Linked DNA regions of Sus scrofa. The protein of the gene in region 1 purifies or fractionates together with the protein of each later gene. This does not show direct contact. Links are inferred from orthologs where the notes say so. Each region holds a gene or a part of one and is shown in the gene's direction. Other genes may lie near its edges.

Region 1 (3,561 bases):
CTAAAATGAGCATAATTTTTTTTTAAAGTAAAACTTATTTTGGTACAGTATCATGGAATATGAGAGCACCCTTATCAGAGATTTACAGCAAACATTAGGGACAAAAAACCTGATGTGAACACCCAGTGTTACATTCTTCTGTTCAGGCTCTGACCTCATAAAAGGAAAAATGGAATTTGTAAGTACAAAAATCCATATTAAGCAAAAAACCATGCCAAGAGATTCCTCAAATAGCAAAGAATCTGTACGGCTACTGTGTAATCATATGAAGGATTTATTTGTTGCTGGTATTGATGTTAATTACCCAAGCCTCTAAGGTATTGAAGAGCTTTACCTGACTTTCTAGTTCTTTACTTCCTTTATAATAGAAATTTAATAGAGATAGTACTTAGAGATATAAAGGTATCACCTTAGACATAGCTTCAGAAGGTATTAAAAAAGTTAAAGTCCCTGGAAATAATGGCTAAAGTGTCAATGTAATCTTGTGGTTGTGGTTATTGGGAAAAGCCTATGTCTGACCTGCCTATGTGATCTTTGATACTATTCCTGGGGAATCTTTTACCAGCAGCAGTTTTTTAAAATAGTTACTTAAGCCTTATTCCACCAGGTAGAATTGCAGACAAAGTTAGTTTTTTGTTTGTTTGGGTGGCTTTTTTGTTTGTTTGTTTTTACTAAATCAAGAGAGCAACCCACTAAAGAAAAACGGTTTTAAACTCTGATCTCATGAGTAGATGGATTCAAATTTGTGCTAAGGAAATTCCCGCTGTGGCTCAGTGGATTAAGAACCCAACCAATATCCAGGAGGATGTGGGTTTGATCCCTGGCCTTGATCACTGGGTTAAGGATCCGACATTGCTATGAGTTGCATTGTAGGTAGCACATGTAGCTTGGCTCTGGCATTGCTGTGGCTGAATGTAGGCCGGCAACTGCAGCTCTGATTCAATCCCTAGCCTAGGAACTTCCATATGCCACAGATGCAGCCCTAGCAAAATGGAAAAAAAAAAATTGTGCTAAGGATTTGAATTGGTAGAAATAAAACTTTGGACTTGGAGGGGGGGCATCCCACATCATTTTAAAACCCCCAAAGGATAGGGTAGTTTTTGCTTTTTTCTTTTTTTTCTTTTTCTTTTTGCTTTTTAGGGCCATACTTGTGGCATATGGAGGTTCCCAGGCTAGGGGTCGAATTGGAGCTACAGCTGCTGGCCTGAACCACAACTCACAGCAACGCTGGATCCTTAACCCACTGAGCAAGTGCAGGGATTGAACCCTCATCTTCATGGATCCTGGTCGGGTTTGTTAACCGCTGAGCCACAAAGGGAACCCCAAAAGGGTAGTTTCTTATCTTTTGGTTACATTTTAGGTCGTTCAAGCCCTCAGTTAGACCCTTTGAGAAAAAGCCCAACCATGGAACAAGCAGTACAGACCGCCTCGGCCCACTTACCTGCTCCGGCACCTGTTGGGAGAAGGAGCCCTGTATCAACCAGGCCTTTACCATCTACCAGCCAAAAAGCAATAGAGAATCAAGAGCACAGGCGAGGTAGAGCTTTAGCTATTTACTTTATTAATTGACTAATCAACATCTTCCATTCAATTTATTTTCATTAAAAAGATGTACTTTATGTGAATCATCTCAGACGGTTTAAACTGAACTTGAATGTTCAGTCTTTCAGATTTGACTCAAAATAGTGATGGGGTGGAGGTACAGATTTTTGGTTTTGTTCTGGGTTGGTTGGTTTGTTTTTCCATTTCTGACTTTCCAGTTTTTGATTATGTGTCCTGAATTGATTGTCACTTTCTGTATGTTCTATAGCTGAAGTACATAAAGTTTCAAGACCAGAAAGTGAGCAGCTCAGAAATGATAGCAAGAGACAAATAGGTAAGTTGTTACTTGGATCTGAAAGTCATATCCTGTGCTTCTCAGTAGAGAAAACATTTGAAATGTATGATGCGTGATTACTATAAAAAAAAATAAACAGCAAGGGTTGGTGACTGTAAAGGAGTAGCACAGGGGAGTTTCTTGTGGTTACAGAACAGTTCTGTATCTTGATTGTGTGGTAGTTGTATAGATATGTACATATAGCAAAATGTCATAGAACTGTGTGAAAAGACATGCCAAAAAATGAGTACATGCAGGAGTTTCCACTGTGGCGCAGTGGGTTAAGAATACAACTGTAGCAGCTTGGGTCACTTTGGAGGTGTGGGTTCAATCCCTGGCCCGGCGCAGTGGGTTAAAGGATCCAGTGCTGCCACAGCTATGGCTCTAATTGAGTTCCTGGTCCAGGAACTTGCATTATGCCACAGGTGCTGCCATTTAAAAAAAAAAAAAAAAAAAAGCAAAACTGTTAAAAGTCTAAATATGAGATTTGTGGTGTCGTTAATTATATTGTGCCAGTGTCCTAGTTTTTTAATGTGTTTTTGTTTACTTCGTTTTGGTTGTTTTTGGTTTTTGTTTCTTTTAAATAGTCATACCTGCCCGGGTGTTCCTGGGCCAGGGATTGAATCTGAGCCATATCTGCAACCTGCACCGAAGTTTCAGCAACACTGGATCCTTTAACCCACTGGGCCAGGCCGGGTATCAAATCCATACTTCCACAGTGACCTGATTTGCTTCAGTCAGATTTTTTTTTTTTTAAGGCCGCACTTGCAGCCTATAGAAGTTCTTGAGCTAGGGGTCCAATCAAAGCTGCAGCTGCAGGCTTATGCCACAGCCATACCAACACAGGATCCAAGCTGCATCTGTGATCTTTGACACAGCTTGCAGCAACTCTGAGTCTTTAACCCACTTAGTGAGGCCAGGGATTGAACCTGCATCCTCACGGACTATGTTGGATTCTTAACCCCTGCACAGGAACTTCTGGTTTTTTATTTAATAGTTAAAGAAGATGTTACTATTGGAGGGGAAGCTAGATGATGCACACACAAAACCACTCTGTGCTTTTTATTTTTCAAAAGACTTTTTTTTTTTTTTTTCTTTTTTTTTGTCTTTTCTAGGGCCGCACCGATGGCACATGGAGGTTCCCAGGCTAGGGATCAAATCGGAGCTGTAGCTTCCAGCCTACGCCAGAGCCACAGCATCTCGGGATCTGAGCCACGTCTGCGACCTACACCACAGCTCACGGCAACACCAAATCCTTAACCCACTGAGCAAGGCCAGGGATTGAACCCACAACCTCATGGTTCCTAGTCGGATTCATTTCTGCTATGCCATGACAGGAACTACCCCCCCCCTTTATAAATGGCCGCACTCATGGCATATGGAAGTTCCCAGGCCAGGGATGGAATCTGAGTCATAGCTGTGACCTACGCTGCAGCTGTGGCAACGCCAGTTCCTTTAACCCACTGCACTGGGCTGTGGATCAAACCCACACCTCTACAGTGACATGAGCCACTACAGTTAGATTTTCAACCCAATGAACCACAGTGGGGACTCCATCTCTCTCTCTCTCTCTTTTTTTTTTTTTTTTTTTTTTGTCTTTTTTGTCTTTTCTAGGGCCATATCTGTGGCACATGGAAGTTCCCAAGCTAGGGGTCTAATCGGAGCTATAGCTGCCGGCCTACACC
Region 2 (4,277 bases), on another chromosome or scaffold:
AAGGGGAAAAAGCGCCAACACCCAGTTCTTGGTAAAAATCCTAACTTAATGTTGCCTCTCTGTTGTAAAGAGATGCCAGAATGAGGACAAGTTTTTCCTTTGTGGATCCAACTGATTATGTACTGTGATGTCTGAATCCATTGAATCCAGCTCTCCAGAAATGAGTAGAACTATGACCAGGCATCTGAGGTACCACCCCTTGAACATATAAGGAAACAGTGCATCTATGGGGAAGCAAGAATTGTATTTGATCAGAATATTACAACTTATAGAAAAAAGCCCCCAAAAATCTAGTTCGGGTTTGTGCTGTATTTTGAGAGTCTGTTCTTGATCAGACATAACTATAGAAACATCAGCTCTTGCATATAATGCTCAAATTTGCACACAGCTATTAAATCCATTAAAAGTGAACCTTAAAAAAAAAAGCATACCATAAGTGAATCTTGTACGTGATGTGTGTGACGTGATGTGTGTGGCTTCTTTCTTGGGTGTCCTTTCCTTTATTCACAAAATGTTGTTTAGAATATATTGTTTTAGGAGTTCCCGTCGTGGCCCAGTGGTTAACGAATCCGACTAGGAACCATGAGGTTGCGGGTTCGATCCCTGGCCTTGCTCAGTGGGTTAAGGATCCGGCGTTGCCGTGAGCTGTTGTGTAGGCTGCAGACGTGGCTTGGATCCCGCATTGCTGTGGTTCTGGCGTAGGCTGGAGGCTCCAGCTCCGATTGGACCCCTGGCCTGGGAACCTCCATATGCCGCGGGAGCAGCCCTAGGAAAAAAAAAAGGAATATATTGTTTTATTTTCACCACTGATTTGGGAAGACTTACTTTCTTGATGACCCTGTGTATTTTACGTGCCCTGGTAAGGTAGGAAGATTAGTTTTCTTAATCTAAATCTAATGTAAGCTGTGAGGTTTTTGCCCCCAGAAAAATAATGTCCTGTTGGAACATTAAGGTGTAAAGTTGGAGAGAGCTGGGGAGTCACAGGAATTGATCAGGGACCTTGCCCTTAGGAGCGCCAGGCCTGGTGGGAGTGAGGGGTGGCTTCCAGGTAAACCAGTATTGCCAGGTTTCTGCCAAGAAAAGAATGAAACCCAGGGGCCGAGTCACACAGGCATGAGTCCCTGTGTCTCAAGGAAGAGGAGGAAGCTCCAGGAAGGCTTCCTAAGGGAGATGGCCTCGGAGGCTGGTCTTTGGGAGTTGTGGGTGGCAAGAATGCATTCCACGAAGTCATAGAAAACCTGGCTGTGCTTGAGAAGAGTAGATGGAAGTTTAGAGGGTGTGTCAGCAGCCACTGGAGAGAACTGATGCTGGACAATTGAACTCAGCCGACTCCGGAAAGAAAATTTAGTTACGCGAGTCCAGCACCGGAGGCCGCCAGCAGAGGGCGCCATCCCGCCCACGGTGTCTTCGGTCTGCAAAGAGGCAGCGCGGAAGCGCTTCCCTGGCAGGGGCGGGACTTCCGGCGGCGGTCCTATCACTAGGGGGCGCGGTGAGAAGGAGTCGTCCTTCTTGGAGTGAGTCGTCTTTCGCATCCACACGTGTCCTCCGCTGCCAAAATGCTGCAACTGCTACGCTGCGTGCCCCGCGCCCTGGGCACCGCCGTCGCCGGCCTTTGCGTCGCCGCGCCCTCCCAGCCGCTCCCGCGGCTGCTGCAGCCCGCGTCCCGGCTGTGCGCCCGGCCCTTCGGGCTCCTGAGCGTGCGTGCCGGGTCGGTGCAGCCGCCCAGCCTCCTACGGCCTCGGGGGCCCTGCGCCTGCGGCTGCGGCTGCGGCGGGCTGCACACCGAAGGTGAGACTCGAGCACGTGGGCCGGGAGCTTAACGGACCGGGTTCTGGGTGGAGCAGGGGGACCCGGGACGGGGAAGTTTAGATCTCAAGTGGACAGACCGGAGCCGCGCCCGAGGTCGGGAACAATCTCCCACTGATCGGCGAAAGGCGGGGTAAACCCACGCGAGATTGCCCGTGAGGGGAGAGATACTTAAGCTTAGTCTCTCGAAAATGGATTTTTGTGAAAGCCAAAGGTCGCGGGTAGAAGTAGCGGTGATGGTAGTTAGCAAGAGAAGTAGGGTAGTTACGAATTCTTTTGCTTTGTTTTGAAAAGTGGTAAGAAGTTTATTGTTGAGAATCACTTTTACAGAATCGAGCTCAACTTCTTACTGATAACTTAACGGCATTTTTACAGATGGGGAAACTGAGTCCTAATGGATATGGGTTGGTCTAAGTTCCTAGAGCCACTAATAGTACAAGTATTAGAAATAGCTCAAGTCCAGATCTCTGCCTACAGGAACCTGGGTCATTTTTCTCTTTTAGATTGATTGGTTCTTTTTTCTGTAACTAAGTGATTTCTATTGCAGGGGACAAAGCTTTTGTTGAATTTCTTAATGATGAGATTAAGGAAGAGAAGAAGATACAGAAGCATAAGTCTCTCCCCAAGATGTCTGGAGGTTGGGAGCTGGAAGTGAATGGGACAGAAGCCAAATTAGTGAGGAAAGTTGCTGGAGAAAAGTAAGTACTGGGGCCTGTGGACTCCATGACCCTGCAAGAGCTGCCCTGAGTCATCCCCAAACAGCCTTTAGTTGGTTGCTGCGGTGTAGGTCACAACTGCAGCCCAGATCTGATCCCTGACCTGGAAACTCCATATGCCAAGGGGTGGCCAGAAAGGAAAAACAAAACCAAAAACCAGCCTTTAGTTAAGGCAGGTACTTTGACACTTTCTGAGAGCTGAGAGGCCTTGTTTTGGTAACTTCACAAGCTCCAGGCCGTTCATCCGCTGCACACTGATGTGCTGTGGTGGTTAATGAGAAGGTAGTAAGAAAGTAGAAAGAAGCCAAGTAGCTGGGAGTCTGTTGGACCAGTAGAGGCATCATTCACTAAACCCTTACTGGTGAGGGAGGCCACGCCTTTCCTAAATCTAGGCATGCAAATTCAGAAATTCTGACAGTAGGAGAGAATCTCTGAGTTACAGGCTAGGAAAACAAAGCCCCTACTGTGTTTACAGTGGAGAAAAGAAGATAAGTGGCAGGATGGGGTATGGCAAGGGTTATCATTAGAGAGGTGGGAAGCCTTCCACTTGGTTAAGCTAAGTCCGCGATCCACTCTGGGTGAACAAAGGTTTCTGTTTGTGCTGTGAAGTAGGATTCTGGTTCTTTTTCACCTGGTGGTGTAGTTAGTGTGTTTCCCCTTCATAAATCCATCGTGTTATTCTGGAACTTTGCCTAAACCACTTGACTAGGGTAAGTCATAGGCAGTTTAAGGCCAGTGTAAAAATAATGTTCTAATGAACGTAACTGCAATTTGGTGCCCAGGAGCTCAGCTTAGTCAGCACTGTTGCAGATTAGACAAATTTTATGGCTGAACCTCAAACCTCAAACTGACAAGGCGGCTGGTTAGCACAGCCCGGAGAAGAACTACAGCGCACTGCGGCACACCACCCAGCACTGCTCATTCCAAATCTGTTTATCATTCAAACTTTGAAACGAGGTACCATGAGGTGGCGAGTCTTTTAACTTAAAATTGTCACTACTTGATGTTTGCAGTCTGCTTTGTGATTGTAACACTTCGCGCAACTGCCCTGAGGAATGAGCCTGTCCTGCAGCCTGTTCTCTGGGAGCTCTCCCCTCACTGGCTGCTCCTCATGCTCAGCTCATGCCACCACCCTCCAGGACGCCTTCTTCCTTCCTCCCAGGGGCAGATTTTCTGATGGAGGACAGCTTTTTAAAGGCTTTGCCCCCAGCTTCTCAGCTGTTCACCACCACCAGAGGGTGTCCTGGGAAGACTGGGACAGCAGTGTTAGCTGGCTGTGGACACATGTTGGCACTGAGCCCCGGATGCTGACCTGATGGAAGGGGCCCAACCATGACTGTCTTAGGAGCTAGGGTCTATTTGACGGCCGTCTGGCAGCACATAGTAGGCCCACCTCAGACCTGCTGAATCCAGCTGTGGGTAGGATGCAGGCACCCGCCTTAACTACTCTGTTGAAAGTACATTCTGTGTTTCTTTGGCTTTTCTAGGATCACTGTCACCTTCAACATCAACAACAGCATCCCACCCCCCTATGGGGAGGAGGAGCAGCCGTCGGAAGGGCAGAAGGTTGAGGAACAGGAGGTAGGTTTGTAGCACAGGAACCAGCTTGTGCCACCTTGTTCTGACAGGCCATTCTGGAGGCTTAGAGAAGGAGCCCTGGTTTTTGCTGTTTCCCGTCCTCTAATGCTAGGGGAGAGAAGGCAAAATACAGTCATCCTTGGGCCTTTTCTTATAAAGCACTAGTTTCTAGCCAGC

Evidence for each region.
Region 2: the proteins of LSM14A (region 1) and C1QBP purify together in Homo sapiens (affinity purification with mass spectrometry; 3 studies listed by BioGRID and IntAct, with this or other methods). This does not show direct contact. The link is inferred for Sus scrofa from reciprocal best matches to the Homo sapiens genes LSM14A and C1QBP.

The regions. Positions count from the first base shown.
Region 1 is NC_010448.4:43,885,859-43,889,419, forward strand, and holds part of LSM14A (protein LSM14 homolog A), read left to right. Parts: intron 1-1,360; coding exon 1,361-1,537; intron 1,538-1,810; coding exon 1,811-1,876; intron 1,877-3,561. UniProt on the Homo sapiens protein: Essential for formation of P-bodies, cytoplasmic structures that provide storage sites for translationally inactive mRNAs and protect them from degradation. Acts as a repressor of mRNA translation. May play a role in mitotic spindle assembly.
Region 2 is NC_010454.4:51,546,910-51,551,186, forward strand, and holds the start of C1QBP (complement component 1 Q subcomponent-binding protein, mitochondrial), read left to right. Parts: upstream 1-1,451; 5' UTR 1,452-1,556; coding exon 1,557-1,788; intron 1,789-2,353; coding exon 2,354-2,504; intron 2,505-4,009; coding exon 4,010-4,103; intron 4,104-4,277.